Callithrix jacchus: one gene and its partners. The protein of the gene in region 4 interacts with the protein of the main gene of each other region in a pairwise test. Links are inferred from orthologs where the notes say so. Each region holds a gene or a part of one and is shown on either strand. Other genes may lie near its edges.

Region 1 (4,561 bases), on a different chromosome or scaffold from region 4:
ACCACCAGCCTGCCCCCGGCTACGCTGACAGACACACACAGGCCCACCACCAACCCTGCAGGTGGACATACATAGTCATCAGTCCACCTGGCCTCACCTACCGCTAAACAAACGCACAGCCGCACACAATCACACTCTAAATTAGCGTCCCAGGGAGCGCCACAACTTTTACCACCGCAGTCCTTCCAGAACCCCTGGTGTGTTTCCAGGGAGGTTGGGTTAAGTGCAACGGAGGTGTTTGCAAGGCCTGGTGCCAACGACAGCCACAGGCAGGATGGGGTTAATTTTGGGGTGCAGGAGGAGAAAACAGGATGCTAGGAGCTCAGGAAAGCAGCCTCCATGAGGTTCTGGCTGCATTAGTCAGGGATAGGTGGGGGCAGCCCCAACGCTGGCCTGAACCTAGAGACCAGGTGTCTCGTCTTCCTGCCTTTCCAGTGACATCCAAATCCCTGGGACAGAGGTACTCCCTTCCCTCAAGGTCAGGCTGGCAGGTGCCGCTTGCCAGGCTGAGACTCTAAAGCAACATTCAGCCCCTTCCAACACCATCCCCTGGAGCGCTTTCCAAACCTCCTCAGCCAAGGCCACACCCCAGGAGGCTTGAATCAGCTGCTGTAAGGCCAGCTCTGATTTCAGCATTTTTCAAGCTTCCCAGGCACACTCAGCACTGACACCTGTGCGCTAAGACCTTGCTATTCACAGAAGCTTGTTTGCAATGGGAGGTGTCCCACCTACTCTGTGCTGTAGTGCACTCAGACCCTTCACTGTAACCAACACGTTAAAGCCTCAGAAGGATCCCAGGGTCTGGAGTGGCCCCACCCCACTCTTACCGGCTTGTTTTAGCAAGGAGGGTGCTGAGATCCAGGGAGGGGGAGCAACACGTGCACACTTCCCTAGACACCAGGGAGGGCTGCTGGGGCCAGGTCAGCCACAGAGGAGGAGGAGGTAATACTCACTGACCCTTCCCCACTTGGTCCTTGCCTTGGGGAAAAGGACAGGAGCCGCCGCCCTCCATCCCTCCAAGCAACGAGACAGGGGCACCCTTGGCCATTTCCAGGTGCCTGGGTGGTGTGGGACTGAAGCACAGCTCCGGAGGACCTCTCAAACATCACCTCTCCTCCTGGATAAACCTCAGACCCCCAGGTCCTCCTCAAAGCTCCAGCCTGGGCACCCGACACCCTGTTCCTGACTGGGCAAGGTCCCTCAAAGCTGGGGTCCCTATCTAGGTATCCCAGATCCCCCCCCTGAGGCCAGGAACCAGGCAGGTGCCAACTCTGGGCAGGAACGCTGAACACATGAGTGACAAGGCAGGGCTAACACCTGGTAACATTAGCCAGCTGCAGGAGTCTACACGAGCACCCCACCCCCCGCCCCATACCGGCTCATCACTCCAAGTGGCAGGTGAGGAGAGGGAGGCTCAGAGCCCCACCAAAGGGCTTCCCTGAAGGGCAGCCTGGGGTGGCAGGGCTCAGCCCAGGACTTTCAGTGAGAGCTCTGCTGAGGTCCTGGCGCAGGGAGTGGCTGCACAGGTGTGCGTGCCTAAGCGAGCGTGTGAGTGAGTGTGTGTGTGTGTGTGTGTGTGTGTGCCTGTGAGTGTGGCACTCTAGAGCTCCCCGAGCCCTGTCCAGCCCTTCCAGTCCAGACCCCACAGAGGGTTCCAGGAGCAGGGAAGAGGAGAGAGGAAGGGAGAGAATCCCCCCCCACAGGGATCTGCGATACACGTGCGTGTACACACTCACACACACCTCCAACTCTCCCAGAAACCCACCACATAGCCAGAGGCAGCCCCCAGCCCCACCCTGGAAGGACCCTGGCTGAAACACCCAGTCCACATCCCCAGACGCCTCCTCCACCTCCTCCCAGCGCTCTCTGCCTGGAGAAGTCTTCCTCCCCCGACCCACTCCCTGAAGATTCCTCCCTCCCGGGTGGGGCGAGGGGGAGGGTGACATTGGCTTCCCAGAGGTAGGTGGTTTGGGTCCCAGGGGAGTTAGAAGGGGTGAGGGGTGAGTGGTAAATGAAGAGGACCCAGCTCTCGGTAGGGGAGAGGGTGTGGGGAAGGGAACAGAGGACAGGAGGGGGCTTGGAATGGAAGGGCGGGGTGGGGAAGCCAGAGGAGTCCCGGCTCAGGGCTGATAGGCGATGGCTCTGACAGTGTGTAAAGGAGACAGAAGACAGAAGGTGGGGAGGGGGCTTCACTTGTAAAGTGGCAGTGGCTGGGCAAAGGGTCTTTGGGCGTGAGATGAGGTGGAAGGCTCAAGGTCTAGAGCGAAGCCAGGCAGGGGTTGTTGGGGGCCTCAGAACTAAGTATCTCTCCCGACAGGATCCGAGATGGAGAGGAGGAGGGGGCTGGCGACCGCGAGGGGCTCGTGTCCCGCAGGGTAAAGGGTGGGGGGTTGGCTGGGACAAAACTCGGGGGACGATGGCCGGGTCCGGGGGCTCACGGATCCCCACTGTGGGCGGGCAGGGACCCCGAGGAGCCCGGGTGGAGGAACGGAGGAGGGGGTCTCTCGGTCCAGGGAGAGGACTGGGCTGGAGACCGGCCCGGACATGGCGGGGCTGGGGGCTCCCGCTCTGGGACGCGGAGGGGCGGGGAGGGGCCGGGGGTCTCCTGTCCCGGTAGGGGGGCCTCGCGGGTCCCTACGGAGGCGAGCTAGGGCAGCGTCGGGGTCCGCCCGAGGGGCGGAGGGGGCTCCGGATCCCGGCAGAGGCCACGGCGGGGGTCCCGGCCGGCGCGTACTCACGTCCAGGATGACGGCGGTGCCCCCGCGCGGCGAGGCGGGGCCGGGGCCCGGGTCCGCCGGGTCCGCGGGGGCCAGCGGCGCCCGGGGCTCGCCCATCCTGGCGCCCACCCAGCGCAGCAGCCCGCCCAGCGCTCGGCCCTGCGGCGGCGGCTCCCGGAGCAGCCTGTGCGCGCCGGCCCTGCACAGGCGCGCCGCCCGCTCGCACATCGCGCCGCGCCCGCCGCCGCCCGGAAGCCCGCCGACCCCGCCTGGCCGCGGCCCGCCCCCGCACGACCCCCTCCCCGCGCGGCCCCGCCCTCCCTCCCAATGCCCGCGCGGCCGCGGACACCGCGGGGACTGGCCGGCGCCTGGGGGGGCGGGCCGGCCGGACCCTGAGCCACGTGCCCGCTCCCCGCCGCCCCCACCCCCGCCGGACGGGCACCCGGCCTGGGGACTCCCCGATGGGGCGCGGGGCGCGGGGCGCGGGGCACGGCCACAGAAGGAGCTGCCCGGAGGCGAGGGGAAGTTGAGGCCTGGGGGCGGGGCGGCTCCCCTGGGATCTGGTCCCCAAAAGTCTCCTGCTGCCCCCGCTTCTAAAGTCCCCCCCCTCCCACTCGCGGCGCTCTGCAGGGGCCTGAGCGCGGGTGTCCGGCGAGCCCAGAGCGCCCTCTGCCGGCTCCAGCCCTGGGAGCGGCGCCCACGCACCGCGGCTCCGTCACACCCTCCCGGGCCTACCCTTACCTCCAGCGGGGCGCATGCCCCCTCAGGCTGTCCCCTTCATTTCACAACTCCCAGAACCAGTCTTCACCCCAGAACATCTTTCCTTCACACTCCACCCACCCATCCATCTATGCACCCACCCACCCTCCCACATTCCCTCCAATCCATCCATCTATCCTCCGCCTCCCGTCTGTCTGTCCATGCACCCACCCTCCCAACCATCCACCCCCCATCATCCTCCCATCCATCCATCCACCCACCCACCACCCTCCCATCCATTCACCCACCTGTCCACTCACCCTCCCATCCATCCATCCACCCATCCACCCATGCTTTTATCCTCCCTTCCTCCCTCCCATCCATTCACCACCCGTCCACTCACCCTCCCATCCATCCATCCATCCATCCATCCATCCATCCATCCACTCACCCACCCATCCTGCCTCCCATCCATCCACCCACCTATCTTCCCATCCATCCATCCATCCATCCATCCATTTAAAAGATGCGTTAAGGAAAACCCACTAGGTGTCAGGCACGTGCCCAAGTGCTCAGTTCCAGCAATGGGCAAAACAGATGGTGTCCTTGGCCTCCTGGAGCTTACATCCAAATGGGCAGAGTCAAACACTGAAGTGATTCCACAAATAAATGAACAATTAAAACTGAACTGCTGGCCGGGTGTGGTGGCTCATGCCTGTAATCCCAGCACTTTGGGAAGCCAAGAGGGCAGATTACTTGAGTTCAGGAGTTCAAGACCAGCCTGGCCAACATGATGAACCCGCATCTCTCTTAAAAATACAGTAGCTAGCTGGGCGAGGTGGGGACACCTGCAATCTCAGCTACTTGGGAGGCTGAGGCAGGAGAACTGTTTGAACCCAGGAGGCAGAGGTTGCAATAAACGGAGATTGCACCGTTGCACTCCAGCCTGGACGATGGAATGAGAGTCTGTCTCCAAAAAATAAAAAAATAGAAAACTAAAACTGAATTGTTATGAAAAGGAAACACCTTGGACTATGAGAGGAGTGTTTGCTCCGGTGGCAGTGGAGGGGTTTATGTCAGAAACAGCTTCCAAGACGAAGTGATTCTCATGCTGAGAGATTCCAAGGAAGAGGAGTTACAGAAAG
Region 2 (3,149 bases), on a different chromosome or scaffold from region 4:
GTAGATTCACGACTCTGGGCGGGAACCCACAGTTGAATCCCTTCTACCTAGGGGTCAGCACATGGGGTGCCAGAGGGGAGGCTGGAAAAGGGGGAGGAGGAGTTGGAGTTGGGAAGGAGTCTGAGGTCCTAGGCCTAGACCTTTCTTTCAGCCCCACCTTCCTCAGCCTTCTTGGTGGGCAAAAGGTAGCCAGAGGACAGAAAGATTCTCCCACCCAGAGCCACTCACTGCAAACAGCTGTTTTAGGGAATGTAAGGAGAGTCTGCAGGCAGGTGGGTGGGGAGGTGCAGTTATTTGTTATAAGGTTCTGTCCATCCCAAACCCTGAGCCTAGGTTCTGTTCCCCTCAGCCACCCAAGCCTCACCACAACAGTTCCCTGAGGAAATCAGGCGTGGGGTTTCCACTGGGACCATTCGTGTTTGCCAGACACATCTGTAAAGCCTTCCGTTACGTTTGGGCGCCGCTGCACACGCCTGTAATCCTGGCACTTTGGGAGGCGGAGGTGAGTGGAGTCTGACTACCCTGCTTCTCTCAAGACCTGAGTGGAGGCACAGGCCACCTGCTCTCTCCTCCCCTCCCACGGCATTCCTTGGATTAATCGTGCCTCTGAGGAAGTGAGATGTCCCTGTCATGCCTCCATGAGTGAATATGTAGCCACCGTAACAGCAGAAACTTTCTCTAACCGTTTATTTCTCCCCACCAGAAGGTGGAGGCGGGCGGGCCTAGAATACAGGGTGAGGTGGGTTCCCGGGTTGGGCCAGTGCAGACAGCGCGGGGAGAGGCGGGGCGCGGCTCTTAGGCGAAGGTCGAGTTGTTCCAGCCCACGTTTGAGGCGTTCATGTCGTAATAGTTGATGTAGACCCTGCAGGGGGAGGAGGCGAGACTCAGCGGGCGGCTCAGTCCCCGGCCCGGCACCACCGCCGCCACCCCCACCACCACTGGCCCCTCGCGCCGCGGCCCCTCCGCGCCCCAGCATACCTGTCCGGGCTGATGCGCAGGCGCTCGGCCAGCAGGCCACACAGCAACTTGCTGTAGGAGCGGTTCTGCGCGCCGCCAATCTTGCCTATGCTGTGCAGGCTGCAGAGCGCGCACGGATCGCTGGAACCGCCAAAGGCCATGAGCTGGTCCGGGACCACGTGCACTGCGATGTACTGCGGAGGAGGGGCGCGGTCAGCGAGCCTCAGCTACCTCGCCAGGCCTCTGGCGTCCACTTTGGGCCCTAGCCACCTCTTCCTCCCGCCCTGTCCCGCAGCCCCCTTCGGGATTCGCCTCCCCAGCCCCCAGTGCAGGACCCCCTCGTGCAGTGGGCACCCCCTCTTCCCGTACCCTCCCAACTAACCTGGGGCGGCTTGCCGGTGGCCTGCGCCAGCTGTTGGGTGAGCTCGGAGAGGAACCCGTCCGGCACAGAAGCCCGGGGCACGTTGGTGTTTACGATGAACATCGGCATGATGGCAGAGAGACCAGGAGATTCGCGCAGGGACACAGACGCAAGCACCGCTGCCGCGCTGAGCTACGTGCCTGAATTCTCGGATACGGTTCCGCCTTTTGGGACGTCACCGCCGGCGCCAGGCCTCCTCCCAGCGAAGCTGCGGCTCCGCCCCGAGTGGAGACGTCACCGCCTACCTCGGCTCCGCCCCGAGTGGAGACGTCACCGCCTGCCTCAGCTCCGCCCTGCGGGACCTAACCGTGAGCGACTCCGACGGCTCTTCCAGCGACTACCGCTAGGCCGGGCTCATCGTCCCTAGCGGATCTCCACGTGGCGGCTCGAAATCGGCTTCTCCCAGCCTGGCCTCTGGTCTTTCTTAGTACTTTTGTTGTATCCGACTGAGCACAAAAAGTCAACACCAAGACAAAAGTATGCCAAATTGCAGGGTTTATTGCCGGCGACCACGGAGGACTCACGTCTCTCCAACCCTTGGCAGAGAAAGAAGGGTGACAAGATCTTTTTATACCCGCAAAACCACCTTGGGAGTGGGGGTGAGGAGTGGAGATGGGAATGACAGCTGTCAATCACCTCCTAGGCTTAGACTAGGGTGAGGGGGCTCTGGACATTCCAAGGGCCAGGGGACTTTTGTCATTCCGATTGCCGCTTAAGAGGTTTACAGAAGTTAAGATAAACATTAGTTTATACATTATTTGGACAGGTGTGGGGTCCACAGATTTTTCAGTTGCTTGGCGCCAGGATGGAATTATCTGGGGGTGCTTACTCTGGTTAGTACCGGTAAACAGAGGCCAGCAATTCTGGCAGTTACAGATAAGAGAAAGTATGCAACTTTACCTCTCTTTACATTTTGCAAAGTAAACTTAGCAGTTTACAGAGGCCATGGCTAGCAGTCATTGTGAGGAGAATGGAAACAGTTTTGTCCTTTATAAACTGGCAGTGTACAAGTTCTAACTCTAGGCTAGCTATATCACACTTTCAATAAGTCACCGATGTTAGTCGCCAGGAGGCGCTGTGCCAGGGGTGGGGATGCGGCGGTGAACCCGGAAGATGGCCCCTTCCCCTTCCCCTTCCAGAGATGAAGCCCAGTTCATTCCACTGCACGCCCTGAGCCCTGTACGTCCTGAATCTTCCGGCCACACGTCCCCAAGGGCTCCAGTCCCGCACGCCTGAGCTTGTGTGTTTGAGATGGGGAGGGGTAGTCATTGCTGCAGGTGAGAGGAGAGCTGCCCCTGCGAGTCACCATTCAGGGAACTTAACCTGAACTCCTGCTCTTCAAAGAGGGTGAGGATGCTGGGAGTCACCAAAGGGAGGGAAGTGAGGTCCAGACCAGGTTCAGTGTGGGTAACGATAACAAATAACTGAATCCAACATTAAAATTACACAGTGAAAAAGTGACCAAATTTTGGTAATAATGTTGAATAATGATGCAGCTATAGATCAGAAAGAGACCTGTATGTACTGATAAGCAATGACCACCAAATTATATTTTATATGGGAAAGCCAGTCGGAACAACACACAAAGCGGAATTACATTATGTAAAAATATGGGCATGTCTTTCGGTAAGTGCATGTGGATGAGTGGGCTGGGAGCTGGTGGCGACACATTTCATTCTATAGACCTAAGCAGTATTTGAATTTTTATAACAATAGCATATGTGTTTTTTATGTGATTTACTAGAAACAAATTTCTTGAGTTGTAAGAGGT
Region 3 (4,446 bases), on a different chromosome or scaffold from region 4:
GGGTAGGCAGCAAGTCACCCGGCTTTCAGCAGAATCAGTCCTGCACTAGGCCTCCTCACTGAGAACTTGCATTTTTTAAAGATTGCCAGGGTATTTGTGTGCATCTTGAAGTAGGCCGTGAAATCAGGAGAATAATGGGAGAATAGAGTATTTTCAGTCATCTGGCTCTAAGTAAGCAGAAAAAAAAAATTATGGCCTTGTGAAATGCAGGCCGTAGCTGTATTTTTTACCTTCCTACCCCAGAACGCAGTCCAATAAAAAATACACAGGTGCTATGAGTTTCAGGTAGTAAGTAGGCTCACACCCCCTATTCATTATACGTGGCCTATATGCTGCACCCAGTGATGTGAACCAGGTCCTTCAGACACTGCTTGGGACACCACAGCTCCCCTCCAGTGGAAAAGAACCACAATGGCTGCTGGGACACATGGTAAATGAAGAGCCTGGGTGCCACCGTCGTCTAGCTAGTAAACTACAGGCGTGGGAGGTAGTCTGCAATGGAAGTGGCACCCAGTTGTTTTTATTGTCTGTTCTAAAAGGTGCGGGCTGGCACAGGCTCGCACGGGTGGTAGTGGGGTGGTGAGGACCCGTCGCATGGGAAGTAGGAGGGTTTGTGTCATAGGTGAGGAACTGTGAGTGGGCTGTGTGGAGTTACAGTGGGGGAGGGGGCGGTCATCACCCGATAGCCTCTTCCCGCGTCAGGTTGAAAAGGGGTGTGTGACTTTCAGGTAGTACACACGCTCACTTGGCCTATTTGTTACACATGGCTTATATGTTGTACTCGGTGATTTGCACCTGGCCCTTCACACACGGCTTGGTACGGCATAGCTCCCCTCCCACGGGAAAGAAACAGAATGACTGCTGGGTGACGTGGCAAGTGGGGAGAATAGCTGCCGCCATCGTCCAGTCAGTAAACTATAGACTTCCGAGCTAGTATGCAATGGAAGTAGTTCCCAACTGTTTGTATTGTATTTCCTCAAAGGTGAAGGTTGGCGCAGGCCGGCACAGTCTGGCAAGGGTTGGGGTGGGGTAAGGAATTCTTGATAGGGAAGTAGGAAGGTTTATGTGGCCACTGCACAAATGTGAAAGAGCCGTGTGAAGTTTTGCTAGGGTGGGGGTCATCACCCAAAAACCTCTTCCCGCCACAGCCTTTAACAGGATCTGTGATGTTGAGGTAGTACGTGTAGTCATGTGGCCTATTGGGTACATGTGGCGTGTATGAAGAGACTGGTGCTACCGTTGTCCAGCCAGTAAAGTACAGGCATCTAGTCTGTAATGGAAATGGCTGCCAGCTGTTTGTATTGTATGTTCTCAAAAGTGCGGGCTCGAACTGGTGGGGTGGGGGTGAGGAGTTGCTTGGCGCGGGAAATAGAATGCTTTATGTCACTAGTGCGCAACTGTGAGTGGGCCGTGTGCACTTCCGCTGGGCGGGGAGGCGTTACCAGACAACCTCTTCCTGTCATAGCCTGGAGGCGCATTCGGCACAGAGGCGGCAGCCGCCTTAGACGTGTGGTGGTCGCGCTGCGCGATCACTCCAGCTTACAGGCCTTTCTGACAGGTACGGAGCTGGGCCTGGTCATACAAAGCAACCTAGATTAGGGGGTATATCGCCAATAACTTGCTATTTTCCACAGGGCCTAGGAGTTGCTATCCATAGTTTTCCAGGCAGAACTTCTGGGAGACCTTAGGCTGGGCAGGCCGAGACGGGTGTATCACTTTAGGTGAGGAGGTATAGCCTACCCAAGATGGTGAAACTCCGTCTCTACTAAAAATACCAAAATTAGCCGGGCATAGTGTTGGGGACCTGTAATTCCATTTATTCAGGACAGTGACGCAGGAGAATAGGTTGAACCCTGGAGGCGGAGGTTATGCTGAGCCGAAATCATGCCTGCTGCACTCCAGCGTGGACAGCAAAGGGAGACTATTCGTCTCAAAAAGAAACAAATTAAAAAATACTTTCTGGAGGCCTGTTCCACCCTCAACTCTTGACCCTTGTCCGTGCAGAAGAGCGGCTTCGGATCTTCTCTCCTAGATCCTGCCGCCTTCCACTGGTGCTGGTAGTTGGTTTATGTAGATAACAGGGTAGAGATGGAGGGAAACGGGAACGGACGTACTGGATTTCGGTACAGGGGGTTAGACTTGTATGGCGTAAGTAGTTGGGCTTCGTGAGTGGTCACTCATTGCGGTACGGATTTGACTCTGGGTGCGGGCAGGATTGAGTTACGACTTAGACATGGGTGGGGGCAGGGTTGAGGCACGAGTTCGACTGTGGGTGCCTGCAGGATTGAGGTAGGAGTTAGACATTGGGGCACGGATGATGCACGACTTTGACTGCGTGTGGGGGCAGGGTTGAGGTAGGAGTTAGACATGGGTGGGGGGAGGGTTGAGGCACGAGTTCGACTGTGCGTGGGGGCAGGGCTGAGAAAGGAGTTAGACATGTGTGGGGGAGGTTTGATGCACGAGTTCGACTGCCAGTGGGGGCAGAGTTGAGGCACGAGTTAGACGTCGGTGGGGGCAGGGTTGAGGCACGAGTTCGACTGTGGTTGGGGGCAGGGTTGAGGTAGGAGTTAGACATGTGTGGGGGAGGTTTGATGCACGAGTTCGACTGCGAGTGGGGGCAGGCTGGAGGCACGAGTTGTACGTCGGTGGGGGCAGGGTTGAGGCACGAGTTCCACTGTGGGTGGGGGCAGGGTTGAGGTAGGAGTTAGACATGGGTGGGGGGAGGGTTGAGGCACGAGTTCAACTGTGAGTGGGGGCAGGGTTGAGGTAACAGACGTGGGTGGGGGCAGGGTTGAAGCACGAGTTAGACGTGGGTGGGGAAATGGGTTGGATTTCGTGCTGGTTGGGATTGCGGTAGAGGTGGATCTTAGGTGTACGCACGTGGACCTTGGCAACGTGTGGTGGTTATGGTGAGGTAGCTAAGCGATGCAACATGGCTGCAATGCCGTAGCTTCCGATCAACATGGCTGCAGGGGCGGAGCTTCGGACAACATGGCTGCAGGGGCGGAGCTTTGGAGCGAGTAGAGTTTGCAGTGGGGGTGGGACAACAACCTTATCCTACGATCCCTTCTGTCCTATCAGCAGCCCCCACCAGCCCCCACCCTCCACCTCCCTCACCATTCCTTCCCATACTCCCTCTTTCCGCACCCCTCCCCCTTCCTCCCTCCTCCTCCCTCTGCCAGTTGAGCAGTTTCTTCTGTGGCTGCGCCAGAGTACTACTGGACACCTTTGCAGAATCACAACTGCCGTGGCCTGAGCAGAGACGTGTGTGTGGGACACAATCACAACAAAATACCTCTGCTTTGCCTTGGACAGATCCAGAGAAGCAAGACCCGTCACTGCTAACTCAGTAGCTGCCTAACTGGACAGAGCTGAAGAGCGCAGCAAGTGTGAAGTGGCTGTTATTGCAGCTTCCACGCTGCTAGCAGAGCCAGCCCAGCAAGGTGAGCAGCTGTGAGGTGGGCTCTGGTGGGAGGGACTCTGGAACCTTGGCAAAGAGTGAGGAGACAGGACTCACTGCAGGGTTCGCAAACTCTGCAGGATAGGGCCATCGCTAGGGCAAGAGTTGTTCGTTTCCTGCAGTCTGGCAGTAGGGACCTTATCTGCGTCCCTTTTCTGCCCGATTTCACCTTCCACACAATTTAAACCATGAACTCCTGTCCTTCTTTGAGCACTCACTCCTCATGCCTACCTCCCCTTTCCTCACCTACCCTCCTTGTTGCTAGGATGCTGTATTGGATGAAGACCGATGACATCACCTGTTGCTTCTCAAGGGCCTTAGCCTCACCACATGACACTACCATACAATAGCAACCCATGGTCCATGGTATGCTCTGTATCCATGGCAACACTGCAGTTTCTCACACAATCTCCACACCCACCACTCATTTCATTGCGCAGAGCTCCGGCCATCTTTCTCCTCTGTCAGGCATTTCCTGAGAAACACGGCCACTCCACCTCTCCTGCAGCCAGCCTTCACTTCCATTCCAGCAAGGAGGGTGCCAGGTGACCTGAGCCCACATAGCCCTGAGTGAGCAGTGGGGCAGTCTCCTGACTTTTGCCTGGAGGGCTTGTCAGTGTCCTCAGGTGTCAGGCCCTGCCTCCTGACGTTGGCCTTTTCACTACAGGCACCTGCAGCACACCCGGCTGAGTCCTCTGGACATCGAGGAGGAACCCACAGCAGGAGGAGGTCAGCAGGGAGTGTGGTGAGGTGGGGGGATCTTTGCCTGGGGAGACCCACCACACTCTGTTCTCCACACAATGACTTGAGCCTTGGGTAGCAGGGACTCCATCCCTGCTGGGGGTGGGGGCAGAGGGAGGGGCACTTGGGAGTATACGTTGGGGTGGGCATTAGCAATGCTCTTATCCCATTTGCTTTGCAGGCTGTGGAAACCTGTGACACTCCTGCCTTCCTACGTGGCAGTGGCTCAGAATCCTTTGAGTGCT
Region 4 (4,326 bases):
ATCATATATGATGCTTAGTTTTGCTGGATACAAAATTCTTGGCTAATTATTTTGTTTGAAGAGACTAAAGATAGGGCCCCAATCCCTTCTAGCTTGCAGGGTTTCCCACTCATTTTAAAGGAGAAACGTTTACCAGAGTTGTTATTTAGCATAGAGGCTATGTGGAAGTTTGTATTAAGAGCTGAGAGGCAATAAAATTGGTAACTGACAGGAACTATGCTCGGTCTTTAGGATTTATCAGCTTTGAGACTCCTGAGACTGGAGAATCCGACTGTGGATAGCTAAAATCAATGTAACATCTCAGTTTTTATAATGAGAAGTGTACCCCCATTAGCTATCTATGCTCATTGCAAATATGAACAATTCAGAAGACTAAAGTGTAAAGTGAAAGTCCTTGAAACTTAAAGTCCCTGATATTAATACCATTCATTCACCAGAGATAAACACTATTTTAACAATATGATGTCTTTTCTTCCAGACTGCCAGTAATTGAACAAATATATGATTAACACATAAAGGATACCATATGAACTCTTTAAACTTCTAAAATTTACTGTATCAGGGAATTAATATACCTTTTCGAGCCAGTAGATATAGGTCTTCCAATTAAAAAAATTAAGTTACAATAGAGTGAGATTTGGGGTGCTATCCTTTTCGGAAAGCGTCCTCGATGAGGTCATATTTGGAATTACCCTTCACGCCCCACGTCTTCTCTGGGCTCCCGCGGACTCCAGGCTGAGTGCTGAATTGTGGATTTTCATACCCAAACCTCTGTTATTTCAGTATCTCACCTGGTTCCTCCACAGCGCAGAAGCGCATCCCAGGTTGGAAGAGCCTCTCCGGGGAGACTCAGCGAAGCGCTATTCAGGGCCCAACTCAAGCCCAAGCCTAGCTCCTCCTCAGGTCGTCGCCAGAGACCCCACTTCTCCCGAACCTCACCGGTACCCCGCCCCTGACTCCGCCCACCACAACACGCGGCCCCGCCCCTCCCCACCCCAGGCTCCACCCACCATCCGGGCTCCGCCTACCCGGAACCACGATGTCGTCCTTGTTCGGGGCTCCGTCCACTGGGAGCTCGCGCCACTCACCCCACCCCCGACCCGCCCATTTAGCTCGGGCTCCACCCTCCCAGGAACCTGCGCCGCTCGCCCCGAGCTCCGCCCACTTCGTCCCGGGATTCCCGCGCCGGGAACTCAGGCTGCTGGCCACGCCCCACCGCGCTCCTGGCCCCGCCACCCAGAAACTGCCCCGGCTGCCCCGCGCTCCGCTCATCCCGCCCTGGGTGCGCGTGCGGGCCGCTGCACGCCAGCCCCTTCCTTTGCTACGTCAGGTCCAGTCGGTCTTCCTGCGGCTGGGGCCCTGGCTGAGCTAGCCGGCCATGGAGGGTAATGGCCCCGCTGCCGCCCAGTACCAGCCGGCCAGCCCCCCGCGGGACGCCTGTGTCTACAGCAGCTGCTACTGGTGAGGAGACGCGGGCGCAGCCTCCGGGTTTCCCCGGCTCCTGGGCCGCGAGTCGCAACCGTGGCTTTCCTCTTCCCGGCCCCTTCTCGCGGGCGCTCCAGGCCTCGACCGGCGGGTTCTACAGTTTCTGCGGGAGGAGGGAGCAGGAATGGCAGCTCTCGTCTCTTGAGTAGAGCGTGGGCTATTGGATGGGGTTGGGAATTCTCCGGAATCATAGGGTCGTTAGTGCATTTCCTGTGCTTGGTGCTTGTGGGTTGGATTTGCTCTGCAGATCTCTGCTTGGGGGCAAGGCAGGGGTGGAGCTCTGAAAACCTTTGGAAGTTACTCTGCTGAAGCTTGTGGGGTTTAGGACTTAGGTGAAGGCTATTTTAATTTTGGAAGAGAATGGAGGCACAGAGAGTTTGGTGTAACTTGCCAAGGTCACCCAGCTAATAACCCTGAATCCAGTTCAGGCTCCCTGACGTCAGAAACCATGATCTTAACCGTGTTGTCATTATAATAATGGTTACATTTACACAGCGCTTGCTTTAGGCCACGCATTATTCTGGGTAGTTTGGGTAACATAAATCACTGAGCATCACAGTCACCCTAAGAGGTAGGTATTGTTATCCTCATTTTAAAAGATGAGAGCACTGAAGCACAGAGGGCTACAAGTAATTTGCGCAGGGCCACGTAGCTTGTGAATGAAGGAGTGGGAATTTACAGGCAGAGTCTGGCCCTGGAGTCCACGCATTGCATTTCTGTCCTAGGCCACCTCTGCAGCTGAAGCACCACCCCTGCCTTGGTACTTTTTGATTCCGATACCTGCTCTTGCCTGAGTAATGGCTTCTTCCCCAGCTTCCAGTCCTTGCACAGGAAACCTCAGGGCTCTCTAAAATTACTCCTCCCCTTTCTGCTGGTCACTAAACCAATGCCACCAAGAGCTTAGCATTTGTTTGGCCCTGATTGCATGTCAGGCTCAGTGCCAGGTGCTTCCATCGATGTGCAGGAGGTAAATTCTTTTATTATCATTATCTTCATTTTACTAATAAAAAGCCTGAGTCACAGAGAGGCTGTTGTGTGCCCCCAGATCATACATCTAGCAAGTGGTGGTGCTGAAACTGGAACCTCTTTGTGATTCTGAAGTTCATGTGTCTTAACTGTTGCACTGTTTTTCTGCCCTGCCTCTCTTCTAAATCCTTTTAGTTCTCCTCCCTAATGTCCATTCATTGTTTTATTCGTTCTTTCAATAAATGTTTGTTAGGCAGTTGGTAATATGTGGTACACTTCTGGGCACTGGGACTATAGCAGTGAACAAAATCGACAAATTCCCTCATGAAGTTCTTGTTATATTTTGATGAGAGAAAAGCAGACAAGGCCAGGTGTGGTTGCTTAGGCTTGTAATCCCAGCACTTTGGGAGGCAGAGGTGGGTGGATCACTTGAGGCCAGGAGTTTGAGACCAGCCTGGCCAACAAGCAAAAACCCTGCCTCTACTAAAAATACAAAAATTAGCTGGGCAGGGTGGTGGGTGCTGGTAATCCCAGCTACTTGGGAGGCTGAGGCAGGAGAATTGCTTGAATCCAGGAGGTGGAGGTTCCAGTGAGCCAGTGCCACTGCCTTCTATCCAGGGCAGCAGAGTGAGACTCCATCTCGAAACTAAACAAAAAACGACAAAAATGAGTAAGCAATGCTTGGGTGGTGGTAAGTGCTGTGAGAAAAATAAGATAAAGCATGGTGACTTATTTTCTATTACGATATTTTGAGAAGACATTGTTATCAGGTGATAACTTGAACAGAGATCTGAAGAAAGAGGGTGAGAGCTTTGCAACTTTTGAAGAATGGTTATTTAAGCAGGGAGGATAGCAGGTACAAAGGCTCTGAGAAGGAATCCTGCTGTGAGTATGATAGGAACAGCTCAGAGGCTGGTACAATTGGAGTACTGAAGTAAAGCAGTCTTGTAGAAGAATGGTAAGAGATGACCACTCTACCACAGGGTTTCTCAGCCTTGGCTCTAGTGACATTTTGAGCATGAAAATTCTTTGCTGTGGGGGCTGTCCTGTGTATTGCAGGATGTGTAGCAACATCCCTGGCCCCTACCCACTAGATGCTGTTACCACCCCAGCCCTAGATGTGACAACTGAAGATGTCTCCAGACATTGCTAAGTGTCCTGTAGGGGTTGGGGGGCAAAATCACCTCTTGCTGAGAACCAGTTCTCTACCCTGTCTGAACACATCAGGTAGGACACCACACTACTTCCTGCAGCTGTGTGTGTGTGTTTTAAGACAGTCTCAGTCTATCACCCATGCTGCAGTGCAGTGGCGCAACCTTGGCTCACTGCAACCTCCGCCTCTCCAGCTCAAGCCATTTTTCTGCCTTAGCCTCCCCAGTAGCTGGGACTACAGGTGCCCACCACCACGCCCAGATAATTTTTGTATTTTTAGTAGAGACGGGGTTCCACCACGTTGGCTGGGCTGGTCTTGAACTCCCAATCTCAGGTGATCCACCCATCCAAAGTGCTGGGTTTACAGGTGTGAGCCACGGTGCCCGGCCATCCTGCAGGTTTTTTAACTTGAAATGAATGCCTCCTGTTTACTTCTGGGTCAGTAGTGCCTTTCCTGTGCTTGGTGACTGTTGGTTGGATTTGCTCTGCAGGTCTCTGCTTGGGAGTGAGGAAGGGTGGAGCTCTGAAAACCTTTGGAAATTATTCTGCTGAAGCTTGTGGGGTTTCAGACTGAGGTGAAGGTTATTTTATTTTGGAAGAGAATGGAGACACAGAGAGTTTTGTGTAACTTGCCAAGGTCACCCAGCTAATAGCAGCCAGAAATCCAGTTCAGGCTCTCTTCGTCAGAAACCATGCTCTTAACCGTGTTGTCCTTATAATAAT
Region 5 (4,567 bases), on a different chromosome or scaffold from region 4:
CCTCACAGCTTGTGTTATTAATTTCTGTACAATTTCCTAAGTACATATAAAGCTTTAAGAAAAGGTTCTCGGAGGCTGGGCACAGTGGCTCACATGTGAAATCCCAGCTCCTTGGGAGGCCCAGGTGGGTGGATGACCTGAGGTAAGGAGTTCAAGACCAGCCTAGTCAATATGGTGAAATCCTATCTCTACTAAAAATATGAAAAATTAGCCAGGTGTGGTGGCAGGCGCCTGTAATCCCAGCTACTTGGGAGGCCGAGGCCGGAAAATCGCTTGAACCTGGGAGGCAGAGGTTGCAGTGAGCTGAGATCACACCACTGTCTTCTAGCCTGGGTGACAAGAGCAAAACTCTTCTCAAAAAAGAAAAAAAAGAAAAAGAAAAGATTCTTGGGCTGGGCGCCGTGGCTCATGCCTGTAATCCCAGCACTTTGGGAGGCCGAGGCATGTGGATTACTTGAAACAAGCCCAGGCAATGTAGGGAAACCCCATCTCCACAAAAAATACTAGCTGGACATGATGGAACATGCACCTGCAGGCCCAGTTACCTGAGAGGCTGAGGTAGGAGGATGGCTTGAGCCCAAGAGTTTGAGGCTGCAGTGAGCCGAGATTGTGCCACTGCACTCCAGCCTAGGTAACAGAGTGAGACTCTGTCCCCCCTCAAAAAAAGAAAGAAAAGGTTCTTGCCACAAAGCAAATTATGCTCTAGTTGGGAAGACCAATCTTTCCAGAAATACAATACATTAAGTATTATAAAGAATAGGAAAAAAGAACCAATCAAAGCAGGGAGGATAATTAAGGGAATATGTACAAATCTGCTGGTTCCACAAAGGAACACATTATTCAGTCAACAAACATGTATTTAGCAACTGCCATAGATGAGGATCAACACTAGGCACTGGGAATACAGAGAATAAGATAGTTCCTTCCAGCTGGACCACGGTGGCTCATGCCTGTAATCCCAGCACTTTGGGAGGCCAAGGTGGGCGGATCACTTGAGGTCAGGAGTTCGATACCAGTCTGGCCAACATGGTGAAACCCTGTCACCACTAAAAATAAAAAAATTAACCAGGCATGTTGGTGTATACCTGTAACCCCACCTACGCAGGAGGCTGAGGCGGGAGAATCACTTGAACCTCGGAGGCAGAGGTTTCAGTAGGTAGGTCAAGATCGTACCACTGTACTCTAGCCTAGGCAACAGAGTGAGACTCTGTCTCAAAAAAAAAAAAAGAAGATAGATCCTGCCTTCCAGATATACAAGTTCCATCAGTGAGGCAGTACTACAGACAAGAATACAGTATCATCAGTGTTCTAACAGCACGTGAACATGTGACTGGTAAGGACTAGGTGTTAAAAATGTAGAGCAAAGACGGTGATTGCAGTTATATAGCAAGAACAACTCTGTATCCCGTAATACTACTCAGGACATAGAAAAAAGGTAAGTAAAGTCTTCTTCAGAGCCATGGGAAAATCCAGGTAACCTGATAAAGCTAGTTTTCTTTTATTTGAAACTCACTCTAACACTGAAAATAGCATTAGCATATTGACTTCATGTCATAAATGAAACTCAGGGTCTAAAAGGAATATACGAGAGGCCCCGTGCAGTGGTTCACGCCTGTAATCCCAACTCTGGGAGGCCAAGGTAGGCTGATTGCTTGAGCTTAGGAGTTGAGACCAGCCTGGACATCATGGTGAAACCCCGTCTCTACAAAAAATACAAAAATCAGCTGGGCATGGTGGCGTACTCCTGTAGTCCCAGCTACTTGGGGGGCTGAGGAAAGAAAATTGCTTGAGTCCGGGAGGTCAAGGCTGCAGTGAGCAGTGCTTGAGCTGCCACAGTCCAGCCCAGGCAAAAAAAAAGTGACACTCTTTCTCAAAAATAAATAAATAAATAAGAAATAAAAGGAGTACACTAGAGTCAGCATGTCTATAACAGAGTCCTAGTTCCCAGGTCCAAATCCCACTGTTGCCTCTGTACATGTTGAACTGACAAGGAAACAGGACAGAGGACCGACTGCTCAAGAACACAAAGATAAACATAGGACACTTACACCATCCAGTCCATCATGGCTATTGGTGAGAAGAATGGGGTCAGGGACTGGGAGATTCATGTCAGAGTGGATCTGAGTTAGGTCATGGATGTTTAAGATTGGTTCCTGAAAGACACCCACCCCAAAACATTAATCTTTTCAAGTTGAACAAAGAAGTATTTGATTTGAAGGGCAAGAAATCAAAGTGCTTTTACAGTTTAAAAAAATAAAAAGAAGAAGATTCAACACACAATTTGTCCCGCTTGACAGTAATACCAGGGCCAAAAAAATTGGGGAATCTGAGGAAAGAAAAGGGTCTCTCACCTTCAGAAAACTATCAAGTTCTAATAACTTCTTTGGGAAAAAATTTGCCACCAAGTCTTCTGCCTAAAGAGGAGGGAAAATACAGCTGAATTAGTATCTGTGGGAAGGTCTCTCTATATAGATATCTCCTCTTTGGGAAACTCTCAATTAACCAACACCCATTTTTCTATTTATTTCACTCACCTCACTTGTGATCCGCTCCCTGAAAGAATCAACCTAAAATTAACAAAGAGAGCAATTGAGTACCTGGGGACAGAGGTAAGAGCAGGATAGAGAATCCCAAATCCAACTGTCTTTCCCTCACCTTGTAACTGTAATATGAAGCTGAGAGGCCCCCAGACTGCAAATACTTTATTTTTTTGAGGACCCATTTTTCCATCTCAGGAGAAGGACGCAGGGCTTGAGGGCAGCACCTGCCTGTCTCCTCTCCTCTCCCTCCCACCCTCCCTGTGTCTGAAGCTGTCTGAATTTCATAAGCAGACAAAAGACAGGTAGTTAGGGGAGATGTGAGCTCACAAACGTGCCAATCCCCACCCAGACTTGGCCTATGATACAAGGCAGACCACCAAGGGCAGGGGCAGTGCCCAGGGACGTTGCTGGGCTGGGGGATTTCCAGCTGTCACCGGCCTAAAGCCCTGAGTCCAACACGTGTCCGCGGAGGTGACCCCGGGACTCTTCATCATCAGACACGGTACAGAAAGCCATCCTATATTTTCTTCTCCCGCGAAGCCGACCCCAGGAGCTGGGGGCTGGGCTGAGCCGAGCGGAAGCTCAGAGCTGGTATCCCCAGGGAGACAAAGACGCCATGGGGAGTAGGAAGCCGGTCAGACTACTGGGGGATCAAAGTGAGGGGCAAAAAGGCCGGACTGGCGCCGCTACCTTGAGCTTCACTTCCTGATCCACCTTCAGCAACGAGGCCATGGCCGGGCCGGGCCGTGTCCGATCCGCGGGACACCGGAGGCGCTGTGGACTCCGGGGAGGGGGCCAGAGGTACCTGCGGAATCTCGGCTGACCTCGGGACCCGGCCGCCCTCGCTGGCTCACTCACTGCTCGCTCGTTCCCTCCCTCCGTGCCGCCCGCCCGCCCGCCGGCAGCCTGCTGCCTGGTCGCACTCTCGCTCGCCCTCCCGGCTTTCGCCGCTCACGCCGGAAATTGCGTCACAGCCAATCGCCGAGACTTCTGCGAGGTTGTGCACGTGCCCTGCGCAGCCGCGATGAGACTCGGCTTTGGACGCTCCGGGCGGGGTTCACAGGGTCCGGGCCAAGAGTCGGATAGGGGTGAAGTAAAAGGGAGAGCGGTGGGTGATGGTGCACTGAGAACTGAGCCTCCGAGAGACTCGGAAATGGTGTGACCCTCTGTTGGCCCGGAACTCGCCTTCACCGAATGGAATTTCTCAGCCGCTGCAATCCCGAGGACAACGCCGTCGCGCCCCAGTGACGTAGGCTCGGAGAAGTCGGGGACCCGGGTACTGGGTTCTCGGGGTGTAGTCCCTGATTCCCGCTGCCTCTGCCGAGCCTCAAGTGTTTAGGCTAGAGCGGAAACGACAAGTGCCGTTTTATCAAGCTTTCCTGATGCATTTCTCTTCCACTGATTCTAGCAAGCTTCCAGACCTCAAAGATACTATCTAATGGGCAAATTGACGGCCAGAGTAGGGTAGGGCTTGTCCAAGGCGTTTCCAGTACATTCTGAGCCAGAACCCGTATCTCCAAACTTCTACGGCAATGCTGTATCTATTTTTCTAATGGAAGCTTGAGACTATACATCTTCATTCACCCATTCATTCGACCTCTCGAGATTGGATATTTCGTTCAATAAAATGGGCCAGGGCACTGTCTCAGAACCTAGAAATATGTGAGTCACACGTAGACTAGAATCTTCTAGCAGCCACGATTAAAAAGTAAAAGAAACAATTGAACATTTTAGTTATGTATTTAACCCAATTTATCCAAGTATTTCAACAAGTATTCAACATTAAAAAAATCCAGATCTTATGCATTCTTTTCTCATACCAAGTCTTCAAAATCCAGTGCATATTTTATACGTAACTGCACATCGAAATAAGGTAACACCACATTTGCTGTCAGTAGCCACATGTGGTTGGTGGCTTCTGTACCGAACAGCACAGCTCTGGGAAATCAAAGGCAAACAAGACTCAAGGTGGCTGGTTCCATGGGGCATAATATTGGAAGAACACCAGAAAGTAAACTGACAAGGTA
Region 6 (3,842 bases), on a different chromosome or scaffold from region 4:
ACCGGGAAGCGGAGATTGTGGTGAGCCAAGATCACTCCACTGCACTCCAGCCTGGGCAACAAGAGCAAAACTCCGTCTCAAAAAACACAAAAACAAAAACAAAAAACCACAAACCCCCAAAACTGATATTTCCCATGTGCATTCGACCTTGACTGTTGCTCATTCAACCCAGCCCAACTCAGTGCCTCATCCCCTGGCCCTGAAGAGACCATTCTGGCCCAGATGTGTCCTGGCTTGGAGTAGCACCTTCTGCTACCACACTGGGCCTCCCCTCTCCTCAGTGCCCAAGGGGAGGCCCCTCACTCTGATCTCCCCATGGGGTCCTGTTCTGCCTGCCAGTAAGGGAAGGAGCCTGGTCCTAGAGCAGAGTGGTTTGCCCTCCGACCAGCCCAGCACTCCAGGTGACCTCAGCTTGCCCCAGGCCCTCCTGTAGGTTGGCACTAATTGGTTTGGCTGAGGCTCTGCTTATTAAGTAGTTGTTGTTTTAACTAACATCCCAGGCAGGGTGGCCCAGGAACCCCCTGGGGGAGGTGGTGCCAGGCTCCCGGCTGAGGGGCAGGCTGCTTCCAATTATGACTGGCTGGCCCCAGTGATCAGGACCAGGGCCCATGTGGCACTTTGCTGGAGATCTAGGCTTGGTGGGGTAAGGAGCAGGACCAGCTCAAAAGACTGGTGGGGGCAGAGGCTGCCTCTGCAGGGCAGAGTCCTTTGGCAGCCAGGGCGGTTGGGCATGGAGAGGTCAGCTCACAGCTCAGGACCAGAGCACTGTAGAGGTCTCTGGGGTGCACACAGGAATCAGGAGTGGCGCTGAAGCACATCCTGTCCCCTGCCAGCCCTCCGCTAATAACAGCTGACATTTCCCAAGTCCTTCCTGATTGCCAGGCATCGTGTTATGTGTGCAGTTTGCAAGTGTTATCTGATTGAATGCTCACAACAAGGCTATTAGATAGGTACTATATCCTTAACTTATTATTACTATTATTTTTGAGAGTCTTCCTCTGTCACCCAGGCTGCAGTCAATGGCATCATCTCTGCTCACTGCAAACTCTGCCTCCAGGATTAAGCGATTCTCCTGCTTCAGACTCCCAAGTAGCTGAGACTACAGCTGCCCGCCACCTCGCCTGGCTAATTCTTGTATTTTTAGTACAGCTGGGGTTTCACTACGTTGGCCAAGCTGGTCTTGAACTCCTGACCTCAAGTGATCCACCCACCTGGGCCTCCCAACCCTGAGGTTTAACAATAGGCCCCAGGCCAGGTGATTGACAGAGGTCTGGTGCATTGCAGGGGGACAGAGGAAAACATATGTCCCCATTGGCCACCTTAGATGCCCTTCCTCACAAAGGATGCCAGTGCAGTGACCTGCCCACCTCTACCCCATCCTTCCTCCCAGTCCTTGGCACTCTGGGCACTAGGGCTGCTCCCCAGGTGTTCTATGCCCTCCCAAATCTGTCCCATGCCCTGGCCTCTGCCCTTTTTCAAAACATAGATGTGGCCAGCACCTTGGCTCATGCCTGTAATCCCAGCACTTTGGGAAGCTGAAGCTGGAGGATTGCTTGAGCCCAGGAGTTCAAGACTAGCCTGGGCGACACAGTGAGACCCTGACTCTACAAAAATTATTTTTTTTTTTTTGAGACGGAGTTTCACTCTTGTTGCCCAGGCTGGAGTGCAATGGTGTGATCTCGGCTCACCGCAACCTCCGCCTCCTGGGTTCAGGCAATTCTCCTGCCTCAGCCTCCTGAGTAGCTGGGACTACAGGCACGTGCCACCATGCCCAGCTAATTTTTATATTTTTTAGTAGAGATGGGGTTTCACCTTGTTAACGAGGATGGTCTCAATCTCTTGACCTCGTGATCCACCCACCTCGGCCTCCCAAAGTGCTGGGATTATAGGCGTGAGCCACCGCGCCCGGCCTTGACTCTACAAAATTAAAAAAAAAACTTTAATCTGGGTGTGGTGGCGCATGCCTCTAGTCCTAACTACTGGGGAAGCTGAGGAGGGAGGATTGGTTGAACCCAGGAGTTTGAGGCTGCAGTGAGCTATGATGGTGCCACTGCACTCCAGCCTGGGTAACAAGAGTGAGACCCTGTCTCTAAAAAAGAATTAAAAAAAAAATGTTTAAAGAACAAAACTGGCCAGGCACAGTGGCTCATGCCTATAATCCCAGCACATTGGGAGGCTAGGGCAGGTGGATCACCTGAGGTCAGGGGTTTAAGACCAGCCTGGCCAACATAGTGAAACCCCGTCTCCACCAAAAACACAAAAATCAGTCATATATGGTGGCAGGTGCCTGTAATCCCAGCTACTTGGGAGTCTGAGGCAGGACAATCGGCTTGAACCCGGGAAGTGGAGGTTGCAGTGAGCCGAGATTGCGCCACTGCACTCCAGCCTGGGCAACAGAGTGAGACTCCATCTCAAAAAAAGAATAAAACATAGATGTCTACATATCATCCCTCTGCCCTTCGCTCCTGGGAAATAAGGGGTCACCCACTGGAGGGTGTCAGGGTGCTCTTCAGAGACAAGGGAGTGGTGGGAATTGGGATCTTAGTCTGGCTCCAAGCTGTGAGGGAGAGTTGCAAGGTACATGCTTGATGGACACCAGAGTCAAGCCCAGAGGCCCCGGTGGAATAGGGGTGAAGAGCATGTGTTCTAACTTCAGACTGCTGGGCTGCAGCCCTGGCTCACCCACCCTGAGTGAGGGCAGGCTGCATGCCTCTCTGTGCCTCAGTTTCCCCCTGTCCATAGTGGAATTGTATTGGTGCCTACCCCACAGGGTTGTGTCAGCAATTAGGATGGCACCTGGCACCTTGGTCAGTCGCAGGAAAGGTTCGAGAAGCTACTGTGGTCCCAGGGGTGCCTCAAGCCCTGCCACCATCTCCTTGGAGTGGTGCCATGTGGTGGGAAAGAAACCCCAACTTCAAGGCCAGATACAGTGGCTCATGCATGTAATCCCAGCTCTTTGGGAGGCGAGACAGGAGGATCATTCAAGGATCACCAGCCTGACCAACACGGTGAAACCCCGTCTCTACTAATAATACAAAAATCATCTGGGTGTGCTGGTGGGCACCTGTAGTCCTAGCTACTCAGGAGGCTGAGGCAGGAAAATCTCTTGAACCCAGGAGGCAGAGGTTGCAGTGAGCCGAGGTCAAGCCAGTGCATTTCAGCCTGGCCGACAGAGCAAGACTCTGTCTAAAAAAAAAAAAAAAGAACCCAAACTTCGGTGTCCAGCCACATTCCCATGCTCGCTCCCAGGGTGACTCTGGGAAGGTCTCAGCCTCCTTGTCTGCCCAGTTAGAATGATCTGATGCCCCCGCTACCATCAGGCTTGATACGTTTCCTGAGGACTCTTTGCAAGAGGTACTGTTCTGGAGGGTGGAGAAGAGACTCATTGTTCCTGCTTTCTTTCCTGGCCAGAGTGGGAAGCTGTGGGGTGGCCGATTTGTGGGCGCAGTGGACCCCATCATGGAGAAGTTCAACGCATCCATCACCTACGACCGGCAGCTGTGGGAGGTGGATATTCAAGGCAGCAAAGCCTACAGCAGGGGCCTGGAGAAGGCAGGGCTCCTCACCACGGCCGAGATGGACCAGATACTCCATGGCCTAGACAAGGTACTCACCGCGGCCCGAGCCCCACCCGAGGCCCCTCCCTGTGACCCCAGGCTCCCACCAAGTCCCTGAGCAAATAGTGCAGCGTTGCCCGTCTGCAGTTTCACACTGAACTAATTATGTACTCAAGTGCTGTTTAACTGTGTGCCTTGATGACCACCTCTCTCCATCCTTTAATGACCTCTGTGGCCCACACGGCTCAAGGGAGAAGGTGTGCTAGGCCCGAGATGCCCCCTCCC
Region 7 (4,454 bases), on a different chromosome or scaffold from region 4:
AATCTCAGCTCACTGCAACCTCTGCCTCTGGGGCTCAAGCCTCCCATGTAGCTGGGATTACAGGTGCCTGCTAGTTTTTTGTATTTTTAGTAGAGACAGGGTTTTGCCATGTTGGCCAGGCTGGTCTTGAACTCCTGACTTCAAGAGATCCACCCACCTTGGCCTCCCAAAGTGCGGGAATCCAGCTAATTTTTAAATTATTTTGTAGAGACTGGGTCTCAAAATGTTGTACAGGCTGGTCTTGAACTCCTGGCCTTAAGCTATCCTGCCACCTTGGCCTTTGAAACTGCTGGAATTACAGGTGTGAGCTGCCCTGCCCAGCCAGTATTTTCACATAAACATTATTTCAGTGAATTCTCACAATCCTGCAGACACTTACAGACTCATCGTTTCTTGCTTAATGTAACACAACCTCACGTGGTAGTCCCATCAGTCAAATCCAGCATATTTCACTCCATGATTACCAAATGCACTATCCCGTGTATTGAAAAAGGAAGATTGGAGGTCACTCAAAGAGCAGTGAAGTTATGGAAACATGAAAATTTTCACATGACTGTGAGATTGAGTGTTTGGCTATTATCAGGAAATGTTAAAAATGTCTATTTTTTTTTTTTTTTTTGAGACAGAGTCTTGCTCTGTCACCCCGGCTGGAGTGCAATGGGGTGATCTCAGCTCACTGCAACCTCTGCCTCCAGGGTTCAAGTGATTCTGCTGCCTCAGCTTCCTGATTAGCTGGGATTACAGGCAGACACCATCATACCTGGCTAATTTTTTTGTATTTTAAGTGGAAGCGGGGTTTCATCATGTTGGCCAGGCTGGTCTTCAACTCCTGACCTTAAATGATCCACCTACCTTGGTCTCCCAAAGTGCTGGGATTACAGGTGTGAATCACCACACCTGGCCCAAAAATGTCCATTTTCAACAGTGGTTTAAAACCCTCTTGAACAGCAAGAGGAATAAAAGTCAAAGGACATATTGTGACAGCAATTGATTATATAGGAACTCTGGTGAATGAGAATCGTTTTTAAATTACTTTTTTTGTAAAGTGCAGAAGCAACAATAGCACCCATTTGCGTCATACGTTATACTTCGAAAAGCACATAGGAAAAATAAAGGTAATGATGAGGATCATTGCAATTCATAGGAAAGAGGAAATGAAAATGAAAGGGAATAGTAATCTACATAACTAGTCAATCTTCCTTAAAAAAAAAAAACCTTAAAATATCTTTCTACCATTCATTTTCTATTTGATATAAGGCAGAATGGGAATGATAAAAAGAATTACAGTTCAGAGTTTCAAAAAGCAAATCAGCTTTAGAGCAATCCTTGAGGTTGGGCTGCTAACAAGATCACTCAACTGGTGTTTCCTGACAGTCAACGTCAGAATAATTCCATCTTCATGAGAATTACAGAAAGAACCACAAACCAAACCTCCAAATTGATTGTAAGATAAGATATGCTTAAAAAAAATTTCCCTTCCTATCAGAAGGCAGACCAAGAGGAAGTTTATCCCCCCACTCACAAATTCTCACGGAGAGCTTTTCATCTAGAAGGTTTGACTCCGGTTAGATACCCAGCGAGCATCTTCTCTGAACCTCTTGTTTCTTCCATGGCAAACTCCAGAGAATAAGAAGCCAGATTCAAGATTCCATGGGCCTCAGGACGACTAAACAGATGGGGAGAGGCACTAAACCTGGTCACCAAGAGTGTATGTAGACATTTGTTGTTTTCCTACGTTTCTAAGAGCTGGGTTTTTAGCCAGAGGTTGCTTATTTATGATAATTTTCTGATATATTGGACACTAAATACTATTATCTCTTTCCACCCAACTTTTATCTTTCCGTTCTTATGTGCGAAGACAGAGAAAAATTATTTAGAGCTCTTCAAAGATTCCTACTAAGTTTAAAATGCCCGTAGCCTTCCTATAATAGCTTCAAGGTTGATGATAGCTTTAGTTAAAATATAGCAATCTTAAATATATTCTTCATAACCAATTCCAACGTGTTCTCACTTAAGTCCTGGGTATTGAACGTATTATTTTAAATATTTGAAGTCAGCATTTCCGAGAGAACCCGAAGCTGTTTCTTCTAGAGAGGGTGTGCGTGTGAATCGGGCAACTTCTTTTCACTCGTTTTGTGCGGCACTCACCCTGGAGGTCTAATGCCAAAGAAAAATCAAAATAGAAAGTACCAGCGTGTGCCATCATGCAGCGGCAGAGACTGCTTAAAGATCGGGAAATTGTTCAAATATCAGATCGCCGGCGGGCATCTCAGCCCAGGCCTGTGTAAGGGGAGTTCTGGTGCCTCCGCTGAGGGCCTGATTAGGGCGCCAGGAAAGCGACCCGCGTCTGCAGCCGTTTCTTAAGGCCAGTCCTTCGCTCGCGGTCTGTCCCGGGCGGCAGTCGTGTGAGGCCCCCGCTAGGAGCCGGCCAGGGGAACGTGGGCACCAGGCAGGGAGCGCGCTCCGGGCATTGGGGACGCCGGGGACACCCGGGGCCCCTCCTGGCCTCCCAGCCCCGGGTCACGGCACTCCGGCTCCCGCCCCGCGCCTCTGGAGGGAGGTACCGAGGGACGCCCGGCGAAGGGGCTTTGCTAATTGCCAAAGCAGGAAGTGAGCTCGTGGAAGAAGCCGAGCAGAAGAAGAAGGAGGGAGGAGGAGAAGGCGGAGGAAGGCCGGGGAGCGCGGAGCCGCGGAGGTTTGCTCCAGGCGCGTAGGAGCCGCAGGACTGTCCATCCCCGAGGTCCCACTGTCCTCCCGCGCCCCGAAGGCCGGCCAGCCCCGTTCGGACGCTTGTTTGCCCCTAACCCGCCCCCATGGCTTCACCGGAGGAACCTCTGGGCGCAGGTAAAGGGACACAGAGCCGTGCCCACACCTGGAGCGGGCGCCGCGGGTCGGGAGCTCGGGAGGCGCTTGTAGCAGCTGCAGGGCCATCGAGGCCGAGCCTCGGTGACCCTTGAGGGCCGCCGGGCGACCACCCCGATCCAGGCGCCAAACCCGGAGTCGCGCGGGGCCCCCAGCCCAGGTCCGCGAGCGGCTGCTGACCGCCCCTCCTGCGCTCCCCACGGCCCCTGCGCCGCGTCACCCACCGCGCGCCCTCCCCCTGCCCGCGCCGCAGCGCGGGTTGCTTTTGTTCTGGACTCGAGATGCCAGGTTGAGACACGTCCCGCAAACCTCTGGCAGAGATGGGCGCAGTGGGGTGGATTTCGTTGTCTCTTCTCGGGCTTTTTCTTTCTCCCGGCTCACATGCCTTCTCATTTCTCCTCTCCCTCTTGCCCATTGCGCTTTGATGAAATGGTTTTGTTTGTCTAAACATTGGCCCTGGGAACTATTTCATGAGATAGTATCCGCAGAAGCGAGAGGCCGATCCCACCTGTGAGATCCCATCTGTGGTTAGAATGACCTCTACTCTGTCTTTATTTTAAAATATGTGTTGGTACCCGAGGTCAGAGTGGAGATTTTTCACGTGAATCTAAAATCCGTCCCACACCTTGCTTTCCTGGAGTTCTCTCTGCTCGCCTATAACCTATGCGGTGACCTCCATGCGTGTTTCTTGAACACAACAATGAATGAATGATCTGTCTCCCAGAGTACACTGGGGCTTTTCGTGGTTTTGTTGAGGCTGGAAACACTGAAGAGAGTTACGCAGAACCTGATATAACCGTTTACATAAACGCGTTTCCTATTTCATTTCTTGAGCTTGGGCAGCGGCGGAGTTTGAATGTTCCATCCTTATATTATGGCTTCAGCGGTTAGAAGGAGACAGTGCGTCTGAAGGTGGTCAAGAGTCTACACCCAACAGCCAAGTTGGCATTGTGATGGCTGGGTTTGGGGGAGTTTCTTGGAGACTTTCAAAGAAAGATCTACCTTCTTCTTTAAGTGGGGATTGGTAAACATTGTATCAATTAGATGTGGAAAATAAATACATTGTCTAGATATTCTTCCCTATCCCCATACCTATTGTTTGAAAAAATAGAGGGGGAAACAAACAAAGAAATCCTTCTACTGCCCTGTGCCACTCCACTCACCCTAGCATCCACCTCCTCTTCTGAGAACTGAATTGACAAGGTGCCAAGAGGTGTTTGAGGCTAGATCTGACTAATCATGGTCTCAGATCTCATTAAATGATGATTGTAGGGCTGGGGGTGGATTCACAAAAGACCTTGAGAGAGATACACTGCATAGAGATAAAATGTAAAATCTAAATCGACAGTACCAGGCAAGATGGGGGCTGGGAAATAGCTAAGCAGTGACCGCAGTGCATAAAAAGCTCAGTGGCTGGGTGCAGTGGCTCAGACCTGTAATGCCAGCGCTTTGGGAGGCTGAGGCAAGAGGATTGCTTCAGGCCAGGAGTTTGAGGTTAACCTTGGCAACATAGTGAGACCCTGAGTCTACAAAAAATAAAAAAAAAAATAGCCGAGTGTGGCAGTGCATACCAGTCCCAGCTACTTGGGAGG

Evidence for each region.
Region 1: the proteins of NTAQ1 (region 4) and NECAB2 interact in binary tests that used the Homo sapiens proteins (3 or more experiments, as listed by UniProt). The two-hybrid records come from large-scale screens. The link is inferred for Callithrix jacchus from reciprocal best matches to the Homo sapiens genes NTAQ1 and NECAB2.
Region 2: the proteins of NTAQ1 (region 4) and MIF interact in binary tests that used the Homo sapiens proteins (3 or more experiments, as listed by UniProt). The two-hybrid records come from large-scale screens. The link is inferred for Callithrix jacchus from reciprocal best matches to the Homo sapiens genes NTAQ1 and MIF.
Region 3: the proteins of NTAQ1 (region 4) and PNMA5 interact in binary tests that used the Homo sapiens proteins (3 or more experiments, as listed by UniProt). The two-hybrid records come from large-scale screens. The link is inferred for Callithrix jacchus from reciprocal best matches to the Homo sapiens genes NTAQ1 and PNMA5.
Region 5: the proteins of NTAQ1 (region 4) and PSME3 interact in binary tests that used the Homo sapiens proteins (3 or more experiments, as listed by UniProt). The two-hybrid records come from large-scale screens. The link is inferred for Callithrix jacchus from reciprocal best matches to the Homo sapiens genes NTAQ1 and PSME3.
Region 6: the proteins of NTAQ1 (region 4) and ASL interact in binary tests that used the Homo sapiens proteins (3 or more experiments, as listed by UniProt). The two-hybrid records come from large-scale screens. The link is inferred for Callithrix jacchus from reciprocal best matches to the Homo sapiens genes NTAQ1 and ASL.
Region 7: the proteins of NTAQ1 (region 4) and EDARADD interact in binary tests that used the Homo sapiens proteins (3 or more experiments, as listed by UniProt). The two-hybrid records come from large-scale screens. The link is inferred for Callithrix jacchus from reciprocal best matches to the Homo sapiens genes NTAQ1 and EDARADD.

What each region holds. Positions count from the first base shown.
Region 1 is NC_133521.1:41,621,995-41,626,555, reverse strand, and holds the start of NECAB2 (N-terminal EF-hand calcium-binding protein 2), read right to left. Parts: upstream 2,961-4,561; 5' UTR 2,946-2,960; coding exon 2,739-2,945; intron 1-2,738. UniProt on the Homo sapiens protein: May act as a signaling scaffold protein that senses intracellular calcium.
Region 2 is NC_133502.1:192,628,143-192,631,291, forward strand, and holds MIF (macrophage migration inhibitory factor), read right to left. Parts: upstream 1,541-3,149; 5' UTR 1,448-1,540; coding exon 1,340-1,447; intron 1,152-1,339; coding exon 979-1,151; intron 863-978; coding exon 796-862; 3' UTR 674-795; downstream 1-673.
Region 3 is NC_133524.1:149,110,993-149,115,438, reverse strand, and holds the start of PNMA5 (paraneoplastic antigen-like protein 5), read left to right. Parts: upstream 1-1,474; 5' UTR 1,475-1,558; intron 1,559-3,315; 5' UTR 3,316-3,443; intron 3,444-3,886; exon of another isoform or gene 3,887-4,030; intron 4,031-4,127; 5' UTR 4,128-4,189; intron 4,190-4,382; 5' UTR 4,383-4,446.
Region 4 is NC_133517.1:73,988,059-73,992,384, reverse strand, and holds the start of NTAQ1 (protein N-terminal glutamine amidohydrolase), read left to right. Parts: upstream 1-1,270; 5' UTR 1,271-1,378; coding exon 1,379-1,461; intron 1,462-4,326. UniProt on the Homo sapiens protein: Mediates the side-chain deamidation of N-terminal glutamine residues to glutamate, an important step in N-end rule pathway of protein degradation.
Region 5 is NC_133506.1:121,061,390-121,065,956, forward strand, and holds the start of PSME3 (proteasome activator complex subunit 3), read right to left. Parts: upstream 2,817-4,567; 5' UTR 2,731-2,816; coding exon 2,656-2,730; intron 2,568-2,655; coding exon 2,535-2,567; intron 2,415-2,534; coding exon 2,352-2,414; intron 2,154-2,351; coding exon 2,049-2,153; intron 1-2,048. UniProt on the Homo sapiens protein: Subunit of the 11S REG-gamma (also called PA28-gamma) proteasome regulator, a doughnut-shaped homoheptamer which associates with the proteasome. 11S REG-gamma activates the trypsin-like catalytic subunit of the proteasome but inhibits the chymotrypsin-like and postglutamyl-preferring (PGPH) subunits.
Region 6 is NC_133503.1:3,261,202-3,265,043, forward strand, and holds part of ASL (argininosuccinate lyase), read left to right. Parts: intron 1-3,411; coding exon 3,412-3,606; intron 3,607-3,842.
Region 7 is NC_133520.1:48,942,556-48,947,009, reverse strand, and holds the start of EDARADD (ectodysplasin-A receptor-associated adapter protein), read left to right. Parts: upstream 1-1,491; 5' UTR 1,492-1,650; coding exon 1,651-1,708; intron 1,709-2,618; exon of another isoform or gene 2,619-2,813; coding exon of another isoform or gene 2,814-2,844; intron 2,845-4,454. UniProt on the Homo sapiens protein: Adapter protein that interacts with EDAR DEATH domain and couples the receptor to EDA signaling pathway during morphogenesis of ectodermal organs. Mediates the activation of NF-kappa-B.